Schizosaccharomyces pombe: one gene and its partner. The gene in region 2 interacts genetically with the main gene of each other region. Each region holds a gene or a part of one and is shown on either strand. Other genes may lie near its edges.

Region 1 (3,973 bases), on a different chromosome or scaffold from region 2:
ATTCCTGAGGAATATCTTGTTGAAAATCTAGACCTTGTAAAGAATGGATGTTCCAACATGGTAAAACACATTCAAAATTGTCATAAATTCAATATTCCTGTTGTTGTCGCCATCAACAGTTATAAGACTGATAGTTCTAAGGAGCATGAAATAATACGCGAGGCAGCGCTACAAGCTGGAGCTGTGGATGCTGTACCTTCGGATCATTGGGCCCAAGGCGGCAAAGGAGCTATTGAATTGGCCAAGTCCGTAATGACGGCTTGTGATCAGTCATCCAATTCGAAGTTTAGGCTTTTGTATGATAGCGAGACTTCAATTGAAGATAAAGTAAATGTGATTGCAAAAGAAATGTATGGAGCAAACGGTGTTGAATTTAGTTCTCTAGCTAAGGAACGAATAAATACGTTTATCAAACAAGGGTTCGGTAACTTACCAATTTGCATGGCGAAAACCCAATATTCTCTTTCGCATAATCCCGAATTTCGCAATGTTCCAAAAAATTTTACAGTTCCTATTAGAGATATGCGTTTGAATGCTGGCGCTGGCTTCATTTATCCGCTAGCTGCTGAAATCCAAACAATTCCTGGTTTACCGACTGCGCCTGCCTATTTAAACATTGATATATGTGAAAATGGAGAAATTGTTGGGCTGTCATAAATCTACTAAGAGGAAATAAAGAAAATGTTGGCTATTCATTGGTAATTTATTATTGTTTTAGTTAATTAGGTTTATGGGCGTTATTAAAAAGGGTTTAGAGTTTTGATTAAATAGCTTAGTTTTAATAATTAAGTTCATTAGAATTTGGGTTAATAGATGGGTTTGAAGCTTTATGCTAACATATCCGCTATACGCTGGATAGATATAATCAAATCGTGAAACCGATTTGAGTGTTTAATATAAGTTTCATCTGCAGAACCATTTGTGGGCAAAGAACACAAATGTTGAAAAGGTTTGAAATCAAACGCAGAAGGCCAAATAATTTCAAGCAAGACCCAGAACGAAGCGCATAAAATTTCCGTCGGCCTATATTCGATAAATTGACAATCTGTTCAGATTAGCGTGCTATCCATTAATATATTATCAATCTACTAACCCTTCATTACCTCAACCAGTAAATACTGCCATTCAACCATCATTTGATCACAGCTTTCAGAAGGCAAGGATTTAAAGAATACATGTTGGAAGATCAACGGTGTTAAAAAAGACTCAACAGAAGGAAGAGAAATGACATATATATCGAAGTTTAATAAAGCAAGAACAATTTTCTCGTATTTCTATTAATTTGTTAAAGAAACATGTTTCAACGAGCTGTAAATCACTACAAACCTCTAAGTTTTTTGTAGACAAACTTGGAGCCAAATTCTCGCAAAAAGACTTCTTCGCTACAAAAGAAATTAATAACAGTTTTTATCGCGAACATACCAACTGAGTAGTCACTTGTAAGTTTAAATGCAATGAACAGACAGCCGATAGCATAAATTTTAAAACTGGTAGTTGGAATAGTTGGTTTAACGGTGAAACAACGATCCAACAGAGAAATTGCAATGCACAACGTGTCCATAGATACGTAGCCGACAGTTTCCTGTTTCGTTAGAATCTCGAAAAATAGCAATGCTGACGCACTTCATAAAGTACAGAAAAAAGTTGCTGACGCTTTTCCTTATAAGCAATGTTTTGATTCAGAATAGAAGGGGATATTTTTGTGAGTCCTTTCTTCTCTTGCTCAATGATCGAATTAACGGATGGGACGCGTCTAAGATTTATTAAATGACTAGAGAAAGACTCAGAAAATGTAACATCTATTTCATTAGAAGTTGTTAACGGCCCTTCAGAAATAACCTCTTTCTCGGATTTGCTGTTAATAGCGGGAGTGTTTAAGAATAAGCTAAATTCGTGTTTAGATGTAAGCATTTCATAAATTTTATAATTTAAATGATTATTAGAATAAGGATGTTTGTTTGAATTAAGAAATTCAATAGTGATTTTCTAAGTCTAGCCGTATCTGGGTATGTGTTGTGGTTAAGGTCATTTTGGTACGTTTACGCGAAAATGCTTTTGGATATCAATCATGCATAGTAGAATTAAACAGTCTAATGCCATATAAATGCTTATAGCATATACTTATATAAACATGAAATAGAAGTATAACAATAATTAGTATTAGAATTGCTATAAATTCCAGAGAAGAGAAAACACTGCTAGCATAAATAATAACTATGGCATTCCTGAACCGGTGAAGTAAGGAGATACTCAGGTTTGATTTGCATTGTTAGAAAAAGCATGTGTAGATGTAACGGATGGAACAGACAACACTTGATAGGGTGGAGGTAATGAATCTGAGATGCTCGCTGAGGCAGAAGGATAACGAAGATTAAGAGTTCGAGAGATATTTATAAAGTTGTTAGAAAACCCGTATAAGTAAGTGTTGTTAGATGCTTCACGAGTATTGGGAGCTTCAGGAAGTAAAGCAGGTTCTGGATATGGCGGTAAGACACGATTCCCATTGCATCGACCAATACCTATTCCATGATAAGATATGCGAGGTCCATGCTTTTTAAGTTTCGCCAACTGACGAAGCTGAAGTATTCTGGCGTTAGGCGTATCAAAGGATGGATATGGATTTACACCGCCTTCGCCAGCTTTAGAAAAATTCAAGACAACATCAATTCCTTCTCTCTCACCTTCAATTCCAACTAGCCGTTCATTTTCTTGAAGGCTCGCAGAATATTTTGGTAAAGTGATAGAAGGCTCGACTATTGGAAGATCGTACATATCTGTTTCCAACTCTTCCTCATCATCAATAGACATGCAGCAGAAAATGGATCTTAGCAGTCTGTTCTTTTGGTAAGTACAACTATGATATCTTTTTATAATGATCAAGGCAATAAAGAAAATAGGGATTAAAACAGAAAACCAAAATACCTAAAATGTTAACCTTTAAATTTCAACAATTTAATTAACTTACAAACCGTAGTTCTTTTAGGTCTTCTGTGCTAGCAAAGCTAGAAGCTTGATCATTTTCATCAGACGATTCAACCATTTGATCCTAATTCAAAGCACTCAGCCAAGCTTAGCATAAACTTGTTAATGAAATAACAAGCAAAGCTCCAAAAAAAAGAGAGAAAGATTGATTTTCCTTCGGATCCCACTCCAGTTACAAATGGTTAAAGGATGAGATTCGACTTCATGCGAATAATGCAAATACCAAGATCATGTAAACAAACAAACGCTCGAAAAAAGTGCCAAGTTCAACTCATACATTTTATCGAGTATAAAAATATGGAGACAAAATAAATAGGTTTACTATTTCATCTATTGTTCATTTTTTAAACGATCATGGAATCTTATGTAATGATTTGTATTTTGAGTTTTCTATTAATGCAGCAGCTTCAAGCGCAAACGTCTGCTACTCATTAAGTAATCCATCTCCCCTTAAAGATAAAATTAATAAAGGACTTTAACTAATTTTTTTTATCATCAAATTTGGTTCGCTAAGGAGACAACAATATGCTGAAGCGTTTCTCACGTATAGTTATTTTTTTTATTTTATTCCTCTTTATTAAGTAGTAAAATTAAATTTTGAAGGTTCATTGGCGAGAAACGCTTCTATTATGCAGCCGACGTTTTGTCGTTAGTAGACCTAGTCCATCTGGAAATATCCAAGCTAGAACCAAACTTGACTTTACGGCCAACTTTGCTTTATTTTTAATATTTTTGGATTATTTACGATGGACAACGAAAATAATAAAAATACAAAAAATTCACAGCAAGACAGCTCATTTTCTGAAGGAGGAATTCGTGAACTGCTAGACCGATTGGCGTTGAGATCTTTGATAGAAAAAGAAGAAGCTGCAGCTCCCCCAAAGACTTACGAAGATTTCAAATTTTGGAAAACCCAGCCAGTTCCTAAGTTTGGTATGCCTATCCTGGTTTGTTGAAATATACTCTGAGATTCTTTTATACATATTAATGC
Region 2 (4,457 bases):
ACAATTATCTTTGTCGAGAACCAAGGCACGAATATCAACTGGTACTTGAAATTTTTGTTCCAAAAAGTAGTTTATGTTACAAGGAATTTGGGAGAATGTAGGAAATGTAGCATGTGGGATTATTCGACGAGGATTTCGAATTGTCTGACAAAATGCTTGAATTCCCTCGATATTAATCAACATGCCAAACAAAGATGATGATAATTAATAAAACAATTGTGTTAGTTTTGTTGTGGATTAAACGATGATAGAACACGTCTTAGATTGCTGAAATTATAACTTGTTGGTGTCCAATGAGTTTAGAGTTGCTAAAAAATGAATAAATGAGATAAATTACTACGTATGAATACTTAATTAAAAAACATCGAGTGGGTTTTCTCAGTTCTTAAATAGACTTGAAGTATGTAATAGGCATCTTTACTACTAAGGATGAACCACAAATGGCTGATTTTTACAAAACAATAGATGTCTGAAAGCATACTAACATACACCAGATTGAAAATACTAGACCTGTGCAAACATCGTTATACAAGGTGTGATGGACTGTCAATGATCTCCCAATAATATTTGTGAAACCAATGCAGGACGTGAAACAAATATGAAGAGAAAAGGTAAAAATAGTTATGTTATTTATAAAGTTTAAGCCTAACTACATAAAGATCAGTAGCAACAATTAGTCCAATTAACCCGTCGATCATGCCCAAAGGTCGGATGAGACGATTGTGTAAAGGTAGGACAAAATTAAATTAAAAAGGTATTAATCCAAAAAAATAAAAATGGTTTAAGGGGTATCAAAAAATAATTACAATAGAGATACCCGTAACGTTATTTAAGTATAGTAAAAGATATAGAAAACAAGATGGAAGAGGGAATTCGGAAAGATAGTTATAAAATAGACAGTAGTTCCAAGTCTCTGGGGGATAATAGGGGTGGTTTAAACGACAAACTTAGCAAACGGAGTGGAGAAAAACTACTACCTTAGGTAAGATATAAAATGCCCTCGAGTGATTGCTGTAGGAAATATTAAGACAATGATCCGTAATAATAAATATCGTAGGCTTAATAATAGCAAACTAACTCAGAATATCATTGTTAACAACTTCTGAAAGCAAACTCAAATCACACTTAGTACCCAGTTGTGAGCAAAGGCGCTAACTCGCTTCATTCTATTCTCCGAGTACTTTCGGTAAATGGCATTGTGATGGTTAGGGGCATCGACCAAACATTCCATAATGATTATGGCACACGGTTTCAATTGACGAGCCGTGTACCCACTATAATATACATGGCAAGGAGTCCAATCCAAATGACCCAACATCTGCATAGACAAGTAGTAGGCAGTAGCAGCAATGAAGCTAATATGGGCACCTATAAAAATTTCATCCATCAAGGTTACTTCTTGAAGATATTTGGCGAGCATGCGAATGTCGTGATCGTAAGAATCAGCTCGACTTATACGACGCAAAAACGACATGGGCCCTGGCCAACTAATGTCAAAATCCAAAAGCATCAGCATATAGCGCTCGGCTCTAATGATTTCGTCAACGGTGAAGATCCCTTGGACAACATGCGCAAAGTTGTAGATGCTTGGAGGGTGTATCTCTTCATACTTACAGGCAATCAGCAAAGCTGATAAACCTACCAACTGGACTTTTTGCAAAGATACGACTTTTATGGAAAGAAACCGGTCGATAAGGTTTACCGCCAAAAATAATGTCTCAGGAAGTAAACGAAAATGTATTTGAACTTGCACAATCCAATCAACAAGCATATGTCTTGTAACCCAGTCAATCTCTTGCTGAACTGACATGTAATTAGGAGGTGGAGCCAGCTTCCTTTCCAAAGATTGCATGTAGTGAAATATCTCAGGATCATAGTCTGGTACCATGGATGGATCAGTTTCTATATCCTCAGGCGATGGGTTAGCTTGTAATCGAGCAGCAGCTTCAGACAGGGCGGCTAAATCTTCCTTGGTCCACTCGGGAATTGTTGGTAGTCTATGCTTCCCGTGTGTAAGAATTCCTTCAGGTGCGTCAAAGCTGCCCTCACGGTTTTCCAAATCATCATCTCCAATAGACTTAGGAGTGGAGCGAATTGACCGTTCCTCTATCTCGACTTTGTCCTGGTATGCAAAATCCTCTTCAAAAGTGTCGCCAGTGGACGAAGAGATGGAGGATTCATTATTCCCTTCAATCAATGTTGGTTCATCTTGTTGATTGATGTTATCTACTGCCTTGAAAGGTGCACGAACACCCGTATTTAACTTGATGTGACTTTTCTTCTTCACATAAATGTGATCCTTTTGTAGCTGATTCTCATCTTGAAAATATGTTGCGTGTCTTGTTTGAGTCGAAACGTCCATTAGTAAACCAGCACACACTTGTTTAGAAAGTTTTGGACATGCGATGAAAGTCGGTTTTCAAACTGCCTTTTACTCAGGTAGGAACCCTAGTCTTCTCTTTGGAAAAGATCCTTAAAAATTTAGATGCTTTTCGACTTCTAAAAATTCGAAAAAATGACTCTACACCCAAATATATGAAGATACTATTGAACGAAGGATTCGAGGAAAGTAATCTTTTGGATTGACCAGAAAGATTAGTACTACAACAGTACAAGAACTAAAAATCTCAAATGAAACCAACGAACAAGAGTATTAACCAAAAGTTGGAGTAGGACTTTGCAAAGGAATACCGAGCTACTACTAATGAGAAAAAGGAGTTGGTGGGTTCTCAAAAGGGGTCAGGGAAAAGCCCGAAATTCCGAGTAAAAACGCGTTCTTATTCATAAATTAGTTACTTTATGTTTCAAAAGTAAAACTTTAATAAATTATTATATACTTGATTGCAATGGTTGTATGTGAACTGCAAAATAATTAATGACTGACTGACGCGACTCGTGTCACGTAAACAAACCCATCGTTTCTGTTAGATTAATCTTTGCCATAACCAACCACCATCGTACCAATTAATTGAGTGATTTCAATGAGATTCGAATTTGAATCAGATGCAAGCAGTCATCTCAATGAAGTCCTTACTGAATTAGAAAGCGTGGAGCTTGAAAATGTTGAATATGAAGGTCCAAGTTTACAGAATGTCAGCATTTGTGCCTCGCCCTCAGAAAAAAAGCGGAAATGGGGAACACAAGATGAATTTTCTTTGACGGAGAATGAAGAAAATAATGAAATAGAGACGAATGAAGAGATGCACGTAAATTCTCATGATTATGCCTTTCCACAAGAATTTTTTCGTAAGTTTGCTTGCTTATAAGAGAAAAAAAGTCTTCGATAATATATTCTAACAAGCATACGAAAAGTCAAACTGTTGGATATAGATATGCCGCTCGAGCAACTTTCTCAACATTATTTTGAAGACTATAAAAGTAATAGCGCTGACTTCATGCTGACCTTTATAAATTTCGCATTAGTTGTAAGTTTAGCAGGAATGATCCGCGACGTTTTCTAGCTTTTGCTGTTTTGTTTACTCTTCCTTTGAAACGTAAACTAATTCATAGGCCTCTGGTTGTCAACCCTTCGTTACGAACTTTGATGTACAGGACGTAGATTCAATTCCTGAAACATTGTCTCAGGTCAATCGTTCAAGTTTTCAAAAGGTGTGTGCATCATCTTTTTGTAATATTTACTTACCATACATATCGCTAGTCTTCTTGCGCTTATACTGATTATCTTTATACTTCTAACTCTAAAGAAGCTAAAACGGTGCGTATTCGTTTTCAGCTTTTTTTGGTCGAATTCATCAGTAAAGTTTACGTGGAAGACGCATTCCTCGGAGACTCATTCATGGAAACTACAAAAGCTTGGATTTTTACCATGACGACAAGTCCTTGGATGCTTGTTAGACATACTGCAACAACTATTTGCTGTGATATCATGCGATGCTTATGCCTTATAGTAAACAAACTTTCCGAAAAATCAAATCAAACTGCGGAAATTCTGGTACTGAGAGACTTAACATCTAGGTTCATTGACATGATTCACGACATTTGTGATAGGTTGGCAATACTACTTTTCTTAACGACTCTAACCTTTTTACTAGTGTACTATTCTCAAGGATTCATGATATACGTGCAAGCATTCGTATAGTGTGTGTTACTGCTCTATATGATTGTTGCCAATTGCTTCCCACCTATCTTATAAACAGAAATTTGATTAGACATTCTGGCTGGGGGTTATCTGATGCAGTAAGTGTATAAACAATCGCTACTGCTGTATCATTTAAATACTAACTGAACGTATAGGAATCACAAATCCGAAAAATCTCCTTAAAAATAATAGATTATCTTTCTTCTCATGAACCTGAAAAAGATCAAGATTTTGTGGTTGATTTTCTTGACAGATTCTCGTTAAGAATTGTGGAGATATGTCGGTACGATATTGATTCTGTTCGATCTGTTGCCCTCAAGACATGCGAGAAACTGATGGAGAAAATATCGTTGAATGG

Evidence for each region.
Region 1: of cig1 (region 2) and crs1, changing one enhances a phenotype caused by changing the other (phenotypic enhancement), as found in Schizosaccharomyces pombe (one study listed by BioGRID).

Annotation. Positions count from the first base shown.
Region 1 is NC_003423.3:3,451,496-3,455,468, forward strand, and holds crs1 (cyclin Crs1), read right to left. Parts: upstream 2,022-3,973; 5' UTR 1,912-2,021; coding exon 1,624-1,911; intron 1,583-1,623; coding exon 1,423-1,582; intron 1,383-1,422; coding exon 1,327-1,382; intron 1,275-1,326; coding exon 1,094-1,274; exon of another isoform or gene 1,046-1,093; coding exon 828-1,045; downstream 1-827. Other genes in the region: ade9 (trifunctional formate-tetrahydrofolate ligase/methenyltetrahydrofolate cyclohydrolase/methylenetetrahydrofolate dehydrogenase), read left to right, coding at 1-657; protein mug110, read right to left, coding at 2,251-2,922, 2,966-3,040; myr1 (N-myristoyltransferase 1), read left to right, coding at 3,729-3,915. UniProt on the Schizosaccharomyces pombe protein: Has a role in meiotic chromosome segregation.
Region 2 is NC_003421.2:1,225,450-1,229,906, reverse strand, and holds cig1 (G1/S-specific B-type cyclin Cig1), read right to left. Parts: upstream 2,682-4,457; 5' UTR 2,363-2,681; coding exon 1,115-2,362; 3' UTR 604-1,114; downstream 1-603. Other genes in the region: cardiolipin synthase PGP phosphatase domain-containing Gep4, read right to left, coding at 1-183; meiotic cohesin complex STAG protein Rec11, read left to right, coding at 2,982-3,246, 3,313-3,425, 3,511-3,609, 3,659-4,008, 4,053-4,197, 4,255-4,457. UniProt on the Schizosaccharomyces pombe protein: Required for efficient passage of the G1/S transition.